Arabidopsis thaliana: one gene and its partner. The protein of the gene in region 2 interacts with the protein of the main gene of each other region in a pairwise test. Each region holds a gene or a part of one and is shown on either strand. Other genes may lie near its edges.

Region 1 (5,168 bases), on a different chromosome or scaffold from region 2:
GAAGCCCAGAAGGAAGAGAGAGAGAGAGAGAGAAGAAAAAAATCAGTTCCAGCGAAAAAGGGAAGAGAGAGAGAGAAGAGAAGAGAAGAATCGGATGTGAAGATGGACTTTAAATTTTATTATTAAACTTTTAACCAAATATTTATATAAACAAATAAAAAAACTGTTTTGAACACAAATTATGTAAATCTATTAATTTTGAAATTGTTTTCCAAACTTATATATATTTGTACTCAATTGTATATTTAGGTTTTGTTCAGTGTATCCTAATATTTTTATAAAAACTATATATAGGAAAATATCTTTTAAAATTACCCAATTAAAAAAAAGTTGTATAAATCTTCTAAATATGAAAATTTGTTTCCAATCATAATTGTTTGTTCAGTGTATCTTATTTTTTTCAAATAAAAACATAAATAGAAAAAAATCTGAATTACCCAATATATATATAAAAAGGGAAAATATTTTTCTTTATGATTTTTGCACACTAAAAATATATTTCTGATTAAAGAATTGATATAATCTGGAGTGATTATGTCGTACATCGCGTGTTGGGTGGTCCTTATCTGAACCCCACCTTATATATTCTCATCGTTAATTAATCAACGGTCCGGATTGTTTTACAGCGAGATGCGAAGAAGAAGATTTTTTTTCTTTTCTTATTCCGAAGGTACAATTTGTATCATATTTAAAATACTTATAAATTTTACAAGTAATCAACAAAATTGTTTTACAGGTATGATAATAATGATTCAGATGGCTGAAAAAACATGAAAGGGTCACGAACGAAAGAGAGAAACATTATACTAACAAAAAAAAAACTATTATTGAGTTATGATGATTGATGATGATGATCTCTCTGGGTTCAATATAGTAACCAATAAAAACTAGAGCTACTATATCATATGTAACTTGTGTTGTTGTATGTTAAAACATAAGCTTAAGAGGAAGCAAAGAGGCTCAGAGGAAATGTAAGAAAAACACAAGCATCTAGCTTTGACACACAATTTTAAAGACTTAAAAAACACTAATTGGAATCCTTCTTCTCTCGCATCCAAGACCATTCTGATTCACAGAGATCAAGAGGCGAGTTTCCGTCTTCGTCTTTAATGGTTGTATCAGCTTTCTGCTTCACCAGAAACTCGGCGAGTGCTTCTCTTTCGCACACAACAGCATAGTGTAGAGAGGTTTGGCCTTCATTGTCCTGCACAAAGTTTGTCAGCGACAAAAACATAAAAGTCTGTAATTGAGAGAAAGAATTAGTTTAGGGGGTTTTGGTTATTTATTTACTTTAGCATTCACATCTGCGTTCTTATCAACCAGAGCTTCAGCAACGTTAAGATGGCCACGGTCTATAGCCCAATGCAGTGGTGTTCGACCTTCACTATCTGACATTTCCAAGATGGAGAAACTGTTAAGTTTCCAAACCAGATCCGAACATTCTGTGAAAATGATACAAGACTACTAACCTCTTGCATTTACGGGTATGCCATTTTCTATGCATTTCAATAGATTCTCGACTTCTCCTTCTCTAGCAAAGGCGTGTATGGCGTCAATCTTCCTGGAACATGGAGTAAGAACGCAAGAATGAACAGAGCTTCTACTATGATTTAAACTAACACATGATTCTTTGATCTACCTAAGGTGAGTATTATGATATATACATTCCTTCTCTGATCTAGTCAGCTAGTCATATAGAGAAACTGAGAAAAGAAAACCAAAAGTTCATAGATGAATCTGTAACTAATTGCTTAGGAACCTTACAACTCATTGTCAGATTCCTCTTCGTACACCAATGAGCTAAAAACCGGTCCCATGGGGCCTGCAGCCTCACCACTCCGATTTCTTCGTTTCTAATAGTCCGCAACGAAGCAAACAAGCCAAGAAATAAAGACAGATTTAAGAACGAAAACAGACCATCCATAAACAGTCCAAAGAAATGGGAATAACAGAAGCAGGTAAGAAGACAACTAACCGAGCCACCTTCAACCCAAGCTGGGTAAAGCTGAGTAACAAGGTCGATATACTTCTCCATCGCTTCCTCAGGAGGCATAGCACCCAATTTCTGCCATGCTTGCCTAGAACAAAAAAGATCATAACAAATCTCAGTCGATCAAAATGCATCCCTAAGTTACCAATCAACAAAACAACAAAAGCAAATCCTTTCGGTACTCACACAAAGCAAGATACATCCAGGATGAAGAATAATCAGTACATCACAAGTAAACATGATTAAGTAACAATCTTCACAGTCATAAGATTTGAATCAGATCACTAATCAATACACCAACAAAAGCAATCCTTTCCATACATTAGCAATGAAAGATACGAACTTGGTGAAATCAAAATAATATACATCCATGATCAAGAAACATCAGTACATCACAAGTAAACATGATCAAGCAATCATCTTTCACAGTCCCAAACATTTGAATCAGAGAATCAATAAGAGTGTTAGACAAACCACTTGGCACGAGCAGTCATTTTAAGAGCTGATGGTTGAGGAGCAGTACAAGGTCCTTCAGTAGCAATTTTATACAATCCATAAAGCTGAAGTTGCAACTCATTAGAAACTTTCTGCGAAAGCCTATCCGATGCAGCAGCAGCAACAAAAGCCGTAGCAGCACTAAATGCCTCATCAAGTTCTGTACTTTCGACACCTTCCCAATCATCATCATCTGATTCATCTTCATCACCTCTCAAGCTACCTTGCTCAGCTATAAGAGAATCAGTCTCGCCGCTAATCCCAGTTAAAGTTTCGACCTTTCGCAAGTTCTCATACTCCGATTGAGTCGTGTGGTTACGAGTGAGTGAGAGATTCTCGTCTTTAAAAGCGAGGAGGATAGAGATTAGCTTAGCGAGAAGGTAAGCGAAGATCAAACCAAAGATTATAGACTGTGCAAGCTGATACCAATCAGCCATTTCCCCCAAATCGAATAAGAAAGTAAACCCAATAGAGATTCAAACACAACGAACTCGAAATCTGAGAAAATGAACCCTAAATTTCAAAGAAGGGTCACAATAACGCATCTCCAGAAACAAAAAGGAGCCACCTTTTTGGAACTCTTGTTTTCACCGCTTCACAATTTTCTTTTTCTTTACTTTTTTTTTGTTTTCTCTTTGTGGGCTTGTCTTTTGTTGAAGACCAGAGACAACTGAGGAATTACACGTAGGATTGAATGGTTGCGACGAGAGACAACTGACGAATCCGTTTGTTAATTGGACCGCTTTTCATCTACCAACTGGTTGGGACCGAGAAAAAATGAAGAAATTTGTTGGAGACAAACTACATACCGGTTTTACATACCTCAATCTTCACTGTGTAATTGAAGATCATTTTTTTCACTATTTTACTGAGCAAGTCTTATGATTCCTAACATTGTTTACAGTTTACACCACCATAAATAATATGAAAGAACACAAAGAGGGCAAAAACAAGAAGCAGGAACTGCATTACAATTCCTTAAAATTCAAACTTAGAAACAGCCATAGAGAAAAAACAAAAGGCTTTCAATTTCAGAAAGCTTTAACAAAAGAAAGCTACTGAAATCCTACAAAGAGAATGTACTTATGAATCATTATTACTTTATGGACGATAATAAACAAAAACAAACCTAAACTTTTACTTCTCTCTACTAAATCATCAAGTTCGGTACTTTTCCTCTGCAACTCTCTTCCTTCATCTCTGCCATAAGTCGGTCCTTTACGCCTGTGTGTCCTCTAAAAGAGTAACATCAGTTGTCTTTCTCTCTCGACTTTTGCTTCAGATGAGTAAGGCTTTCTTTTACCTCAGTTTGTGATAGTGTTGTGTTTCATCTGGTTAAGGTCTTGTTGTAGCTTGGCGTCTTCGTCATCATCCGTTTTGGTGAGGAATTTGTCTACCTGATCTGCAGCTTGACGTCCTTCTGAGATAGCCCAGACAACCAAAGACTGGCCTCTCCGACAATCACCTGCTGCGAAAACACCTTCCACGGTTGTGGAAAACCGGCCATACTCGGCCTTAAAGTTTGACCTGTTGTCACATTCGAGACCTAGCTTCTCAGCAAGTGTCTGTAAAAACAAAAACAAGCAATTGGTTTTAAATCATTGCCACAAGACCCACAATATATAAGAAGAGGGTACACAACGGGAATCACTTACTGGCTCAGGTCCAAGGAAACCCATGGCCAAGAAAACGAGGTCTGCTTCAATGATTTCCTCAGAGCCTTCGATCTCCTTGAACTGGAACCTCCCGGTTTCATCCTTCTCCCAACTCACACGCACAAGTTCAAGCCCCTTCACGTTTCCATTGTCATCTCCTATGAACCTCTTCGTTAAGACCTCATAGGTCCTAGGGTCTTTTCCGAATTTGGTGGTAGCTTCTTGATGTCCGTAGTCAATACGGAATACACGAGGCCACTGTATTCACACGGAAGCTCATTAAAATCAACAATATCCAACCTTGCTCACAACTCTTTTTAATCCAATGGATGCAAAAATCTTGAAGAAGTTGCTAAAAGGATTGAGTGTAGAAGATCTGAAACAAACCTGTGGCCAAGGGTTTCCAGGAGCTCTTGTTGAGGGTGGCTGAGGAAGAAGTTCTAGGTTTACAATGTTGGTACATCCATGGCGGATAGATGTTCCGATGCAATCTGTGCCGGTATCACCTCCACCAATAACAACAACCTTTTTCCCTTTTGCAGAAATGTAATTGCCATCCTCATGATTGCTGTCAAGTAAACTTTTGGTGTTTGCATGAAGAAACTCCATGGCAAAGTGAACACCAGATAGATCACGACCAGGCACTGGAAGATCTCTGCAAAATTACCCCAATAATGTCTCGGTTAGTTCACCATAATCCATTTGAACGTCTGGTAACATAAATAGGAATTCAGCATTGTTTGAAACAAAATATTACCTTGGTTTTGTGGAACCAACAGCAAGAACGATTGCATCATTCTCTTCCTTAAGTCCATCAAGGGAGTAAGATGGGTCCTTTCCAATATTGGCATTGACCACAAAGTTGATACCTTCTTTGGTCATAAGATCAACCCGCCGTTGAACGACGTCAATTTTGTCAGTCTTCATGTTTGGTACTCCATACATCATCAGCCCACCAATTCTGTCCGAGCGCTCATACACGGTTACTAAATGGCCCATTTTGTTCAGCTGGTCAGCCGCAGCTAACC
Region 2 (5,924 bases):
AACACACGAGTTTGATCGAGATTGGTTGTTTGGTGGAGACGGTGATCATTCACTAGCCATCGTCTATCACATTCTAGATTCGCTCCAAGTCCCTCCTTATTCTGCTATTGTTAACACTCTTGCTGATGAGATTAAGGATTTGAAGAAAGATGGTGCGAAAGACGTGGAGAGGGTACAAGTAAAGATAGGTGTTACTGTCTCGAGGTTTCCCGGTGAAGATGATCACGTAGATGTGCAAGTGCAACTTGCGGTTGCTCCAGCGAACGATGAGGCGGTGGAGATGCACTTGGAGACGCTTGTTGTTGAGAATGAAGGCTATTGTGTGATATGCATGGATAATATCCGAGTTGGGTCAGATGTGGAAGCGGGTCGAATGCCGTGTTCGCATGTGTTTCATCGTACTTGTGGAGAGGAATGGCTTAGGAACAGTGGGATTTGTCCGGTGTGTCGTGCCCTGTTTCCGGCTTAAAACTTTAAAACCCCTTTTGTATTAGTTTTGTGCTATATGAACCCTAGTTTCATGCTTTATCTCTAGATTGTCACTTTCACTTTTCTAATGAAGTATGTTTTACCTAGTTCATTGCTATTTTTGTTTAAACTTTGATGTGAAACACACTAAATAAAAAGAAAAGGATCAGATATAAGATTCATAAGTCCAAAGGTACATAACAACAACAAAACAAGATCACAAAGCTACATTCTCTCACCACGTCATTGTACGAATATAAAAACCAAAGGGGTAAAGAAGTGCATCATCATAACAACCATTTGACTTCTTAATTCTAAAGGTAGACACTCAAGTTTTATTCAAAGCTACAACAGCAGCAAAGCAGAGAGGGAGAGAGAGATCATTACTTGACATGCTTAGTGAGATTAGGTTGTAAGGATTGGAGGCAGGTAGTCTGATTTGGTGCCGAGGATACGGGCCTTTGTGTCCGGGAAGAATTCAAATCCTGGAAGCTCAGTGATGTCGCCTTCGCTGGCTACACCGATCGGGTAGCGGAGCAAGTGACCAGGAAGGTCATGTTCGAGTGACTCACTTGAGTAAAAGTCCCAATACTTGTCAGAAATGCGGTTAACTTTCTCAATGCATTCCAAGCTTGATGGATCGAGGAAGGTTTCATCGAGCATTCCCAGGTGTTCGTACCAGAGTGACATACGAAACCCATGGATCTGGCCACGAGCTGGTTGTCTATGGGACAAGTGATGTGGTTGATAACCTCCCATTGCTATCTCAGAGTCTCTTGCACCGTCCATTGACCTCTGGTTGATGTTAGCAGACCCAATGATAATGTATTCATCGTCAACTGCAAAATGGATTTCATCAAATGAATCAGGCACAACATTTATGTATACTTCTCAAGTTTTTTTCCGTTGAAATGTGAACTTACCGATCATCATTTTGGTGTGGACGTAAATCATGAAACGGCGTGCTTCTTGCGCCCTCATGTAATCAGTGTCGGGGTCTGGTTTCTCAGCAGGCTCATACTCTCCATCTTTCTTGACCTCACGGTTTCCAAGACAGAAGAATGTCAGATAGTTTCTTGGATCTTCCTCAAGACCCTGGGCCCTGAGAGCCTGAATCACATCCTTGTACATCATCTCCATGGTCCTCCTCTGCCAGTCTAATATAGCTTGCACTGATCCACTCTCTGGGAGACCTTCTGGCCACATTGGAACCACAACATAGACCCTGAACTTCTCTCCTTTCTCAATCTTGCTAACTATCTTCAGCGACAACTCTTTTGGGATTAAGTGCAGGGCATTGATGTCCTCAGGAGTAATACCATCGGCTGCCCAAGCAAAAGAACTCCCAAGGAAGTACTGGTTTTCAACGTAGATGAAATCCTTAGCACGTCTGATTGCATGAATGTAAGCATCTTGGATACTCCTATCAATGATGTTATCTTTCCCACTTACAAGCCCGGCTTCCGCAGCAGCTTCAGGCGACTCGGGAAACCCAGCAGCAGCTCCTCCATCAATGGACCTAAACAATTGGACATTCCACACATCGTGGTCCTCTTGGAACATAACAGGAGAAGGGGTGATAATAATATCACTAAGATCTCTCAACTTAACCAGAATGTCTTTACCACCCTGCTTGCTCCATCTCTGCTCGAAGTTGTACATGACATCCCAAGCAATTGGACCTTCAAGACGGGAGTGAATGTCATGCCAAGGCTCCCTTGGACCACCTTTAGTGATAGCAGCACCAGTGAAGTTAGGTTGATGGAAGTCATCATGGTGGACTGTGTCCAATGTCCTGAACAAGGAGTGGAACGGAGTGTCGTATCTTCCATCACAAAGATCAATACCGCCAACAAAACTCACAATTCTCCTCATTTCTGATCCTCCTCTGCTTGGCATCTCGCTGTCCACAACAACGATTTTCTGATGATGCGTGAACATAGTAGAGATCTGCAAACTTTGGACTATGCTACCACCGTCATCCGGGTTACGAGGGCACAGAATACAATGGACATCACTTCCCCTGAAGAAATTCTCGGTCTCTTCATCATGAGTAGCCATGAGCCCATCTTTCTTCAGCACATCAACAGAAGTTCTGTCATCCCAAACAAGCAAAAGAACCCTGACACCTTCACTAGCCTTCTTCTTGAGTAGCTCACCAATGGTCACATCACCTCCAGGCTTAGGCCTCCTCGAGTCCCTCACTAAAGCAATCTCAGCGTAAACAGACCAACCAGTAATGTAGATCAAGTGTTTTGCATTGCTAATAGCATCAAAAATATCCTCCCAACATCTTTGAGGCTCATAGTTCTTCCCTCCAGCGAGAGGAATTCTAGGGACAAAGTTGTCTGGAATATGAGCATCTTGGTACAGAGAAACTTTGCAGCCTTGTCTCTGCGAGAAGAATGTGTATGGCACTCCAGGGAACTTGGCACTTTTGATACCCATGTTCCAGTTACGATCCTCCTCAACATGGAAATATTGAAGCTTGACATGAATCTTTGATCCTCCCTGAATAGGGTTTCTGTCATTATCCAAGATCTCAACCCACTGATCCACTTCCTCGCCGTTAATGACTTGATCAACAGGAATGTAAGCTCTTCCGATAAGGGTAGCTCCAATGGGATTATCATCTTTAACAGTGAAGATGATATCAGAAGCCAAGTGAGCACAGTAAATATGAAACGACTCATACCACTTTGGGTTCTTAGGTTCATTTTTGATCTTCCTGGTTCTCCCAACTCTAGCTTTTTGCAGATCAATCGTCGCATACAACTGTGTTTCTCCTTTACCAACACCAATCGTCTCTTCTACATTTGCCAGAATCTGAAAGTTTCATCAGAAAAATAAAGATCAAACTGTGTATTAGTCCACAGACTAATTTGAACTACAAAATAAGACGTCAGGATTGGCGCAAAAATGATGCAATAACAATGGATCTTATTATACCTTGCCAAGGAAGCCTTGCCTAACACCACCACCATGGAGGGCATCAACTTCATAGATGGTAGCATGTAAAGTCCCGTGCAACAGATGCTGCGCCATTTTTTCACCTTTAGCAATAAGAATTGACCAGAACACAATATTAGTTTCTGAAAAAACTAAAAAAAAAGAAAAGCGAGATCTACGAATCTCAAAGATCTGGTATCAAAATTTTAGAGCAGCTAAATTTTCGCAGTATTGTCCTAAAAACAAGGAACACTAGTTGAATAGTGAAACTAAAGTCACTGATCTAACTCAAAACTAAAGATCGTATCAGTGTAACACTAGAGGACAATAGCAAATGAACCCGATCGTTGATTATCCAAAAAGAAAAAAAAAAAAGTCAGCGAGTTCCACTTATCTCACAAAACAAAGAACCACCTAAATGATCAAACGAGTTTTAATCGCAAAACAAGTAAAGAGAAACATAAAGATAAAATGAATGAGATTCATAGAGATGAAGTAGAGAAATACTAACTTCGAATTATTCCCAGAAACTGAGATCTGATCGGAGAAACTCAATCGTTCGGTGGTCAGAAGAAGAATTCGGGATCTGGTCCGTGATGGAAGCTCTTTAAGAGCTACTTTGTGGAGCTGCTGTAATTTAATTGGAGCGTGTGGGGCCACTTTTTCATTATTTTCTACAGATCTTTGATGATTTAATAGTGACCCAACGTACGAATTGTTATTAGTTTCAGCCCTACACGTTTTTAGTTTCACAATTAGGCCCTAAATAGTTACTCTCAAGAGATTCCTTTCAATTTATAACTTATAATATATAGTTAATGTTACTAGATAACGATATAATTGTGGTTGGATTATGTTATCTCACATCCTAATAGTAATATTTTACGTTACATCTAAAATTATATAATAGAGTGAAAAAGATAAAATGGAAAGTTTAGTGACTAATTGAAAATCTTGAAAAGTTTTAAGAAGGCCGACATAAAAAAAGGAAATAAATATTCAAAGTTGTAATAAAATCCCTGACTTGAGGATAGGGGAGACAAAAAAAAAAAAGAGATATCCAAATCGTGCGCCCGACGTTCTGCATCCAAACGTTACGACATCGTTTCCCAAGCTGAATCCTCACCGTCCATCACAAGAAAACTATATGGTGTACTTTTCTCAAGTAGTACGTGTTCGCATAATGACATGAATTCACTAGCAATAATTTAATTGCTTCATCATTGGATCTCACACATCTTCGCTATAAGATTGGGTAGTTTTTTTTTTCGTTTTTTTTGGGTAAAGAAGAATGTGATAGTTGTATAAAATATTACTCCTCATAAACGGAACGTGGCCACATGGGGATTATACAATGTATTTGCATTCTCTGGTATCTAATAAGTTCTAATGTACTAACCATCAGCAAAACCGTCAATCATAAAAATGCGGTGAAGAACAGATCAGAGGTGTCTCATATATGGGGATCAAAGGGAAAATTAAGACAGTATTGGCAACTCGGCGTAATGCTAAATTGTAACACAATGGTAGGATACAAGGGAGCTTATTTTGGAGCTTATTCCCCTATCTATGTTTATTATTTAGCAATGCTCACGGCAAGGTTTCTGATACGCAGCCACCGCTCACCGGTGACTTGTCTGAAAAATCTGGACTTAAAATAACCCAATTCCTTTGTTTTGCTTCTATATTAGCTTATTTTAGAAAATAGGACTTTTGAATTTTAGTTGACCCAAGGAAAAAATGAAGAAGGGACGTAGAAACTAGAAATTTAGGTGCTATTGATATTTGAATATGGGCCATAATTGGGCCTGGTGATTTAACATTCTGTACACGTATTTAGGCCTGTATCTTGGAATGATTTTTTTTTTTTGTGGTAGGGTAAAACTTGGAATGAAATTTAGGTGCACCTATTGATATTGTCCGACTGTCTGAACTGAATTTGATAAGTAGTACGTGAATCTTTAACTGTTTAGTAGGAAAAAAAAGAAAAAAAATCAAAAGAATATTACTATAATTAAACTACAATAAGTACATAATTAGTTTTTTTTTTTTTCTTATAAGCAAAAAGAAAAAAGCTAAAATAGAAAACCCAAAAGCGAAGCCGAAGAAAAGAAACTAAAAGCGAATCATGAAAGTCAAAAATAGACAGAAAAGATAAGAACATCTCCATCAGTAGTCTCTAGTATGGTTTTTCACTAACTAAAAAATATAAAATAATAATAAAGTAGGAGAGAGAGAAAAGTAAATAATAGGTTACATTTTAATAGGTTAAATTATTATTTTCAGAATAATTATTTAAGTAAATAATAATATTATATGATAATAATTAAAAAACAATATTTTAAGATAATCCACCTAATTTTACCGTTGAAGATGGCCTAAGAAGCAAACACAAGTTTCTTCGGATAGATTATATAAATGTTTTTTGGCTCAACATCTTCTTCAAACTAAAAGTTTGAAAGGAATTACTAATTAGTTATACGATCCGGTTTATCAATCACAACAGA

The links.
Region 1: the proteins of PLDALPHA1 (region 2) and ACBP1 interact in a two-hybrid assay, tested with the Arabidopsis thaliana proteins (one study listed by BioGRID).

What each region holds. Positions count from the first base shown.
Region 1 is NC_003076.8:21,708,251-21,713,418, reverse strand, and holds ACBP1 (acyl-CoA binding protein 1), read right to left. Parts: upstream 3,250-5,168; 5' UTR 2,923-3,249; coding exon 2,465-2,922; intron 2,079-2,464; coding exon 1,976-2,078; intron 1,854-1,975; coding exon 1,765-1,853; intron 1,562-1,764; coding exon 1,470-1,561; intron 1,389-1,469; coding exon 1,291-1,388; intron 1,205-1,290; coding exon 1,028-1,204; 3' UTR 805-1,027; downstream 1-804. Other genes in the region: GLT1 (NADH-dependent glutamate synthase 1), read right to left, coding at 3,790-4,050, 4,141-4,398, 4,528-4,795, 4,898-5,168. UniProt on the Arabidopsis thaliana protein: Binds medium- and long-chain acyl-CoA esters with very high affinity. Can interact in vitro with arachidonyl-CoA, barely with oleoyl-CoA, but not with palmitoyl-CoA.
Region 2 is NC_003074.8:5,328,424-5,334,347, reverse strand, and holds PLDALPHA1 (phospholipase D alpha 1), read right to left. Parts: upstream 4,155-5,924; 5' UTR 3,929-4,154; intron 3,522-3,928; 5' UTR 3,514-3,521; coding exon 3,418-3,513; intron 3,295-3,417; coding exon 1,392-3,294; intron 1,308-1,391; coding exon 874-1,307; 3' UTR 603-873; downstream 1-602. Other genes in the region: AT3G15740 (RING/U-box superfamily protein), read left to right, coding at 1-469. UniProt on the Arabidopsis thaliana protein: Hydrolyzes glycerol-phospholipids at the terminal phosphodiesteric bond to generate phosphatidic acids (PA).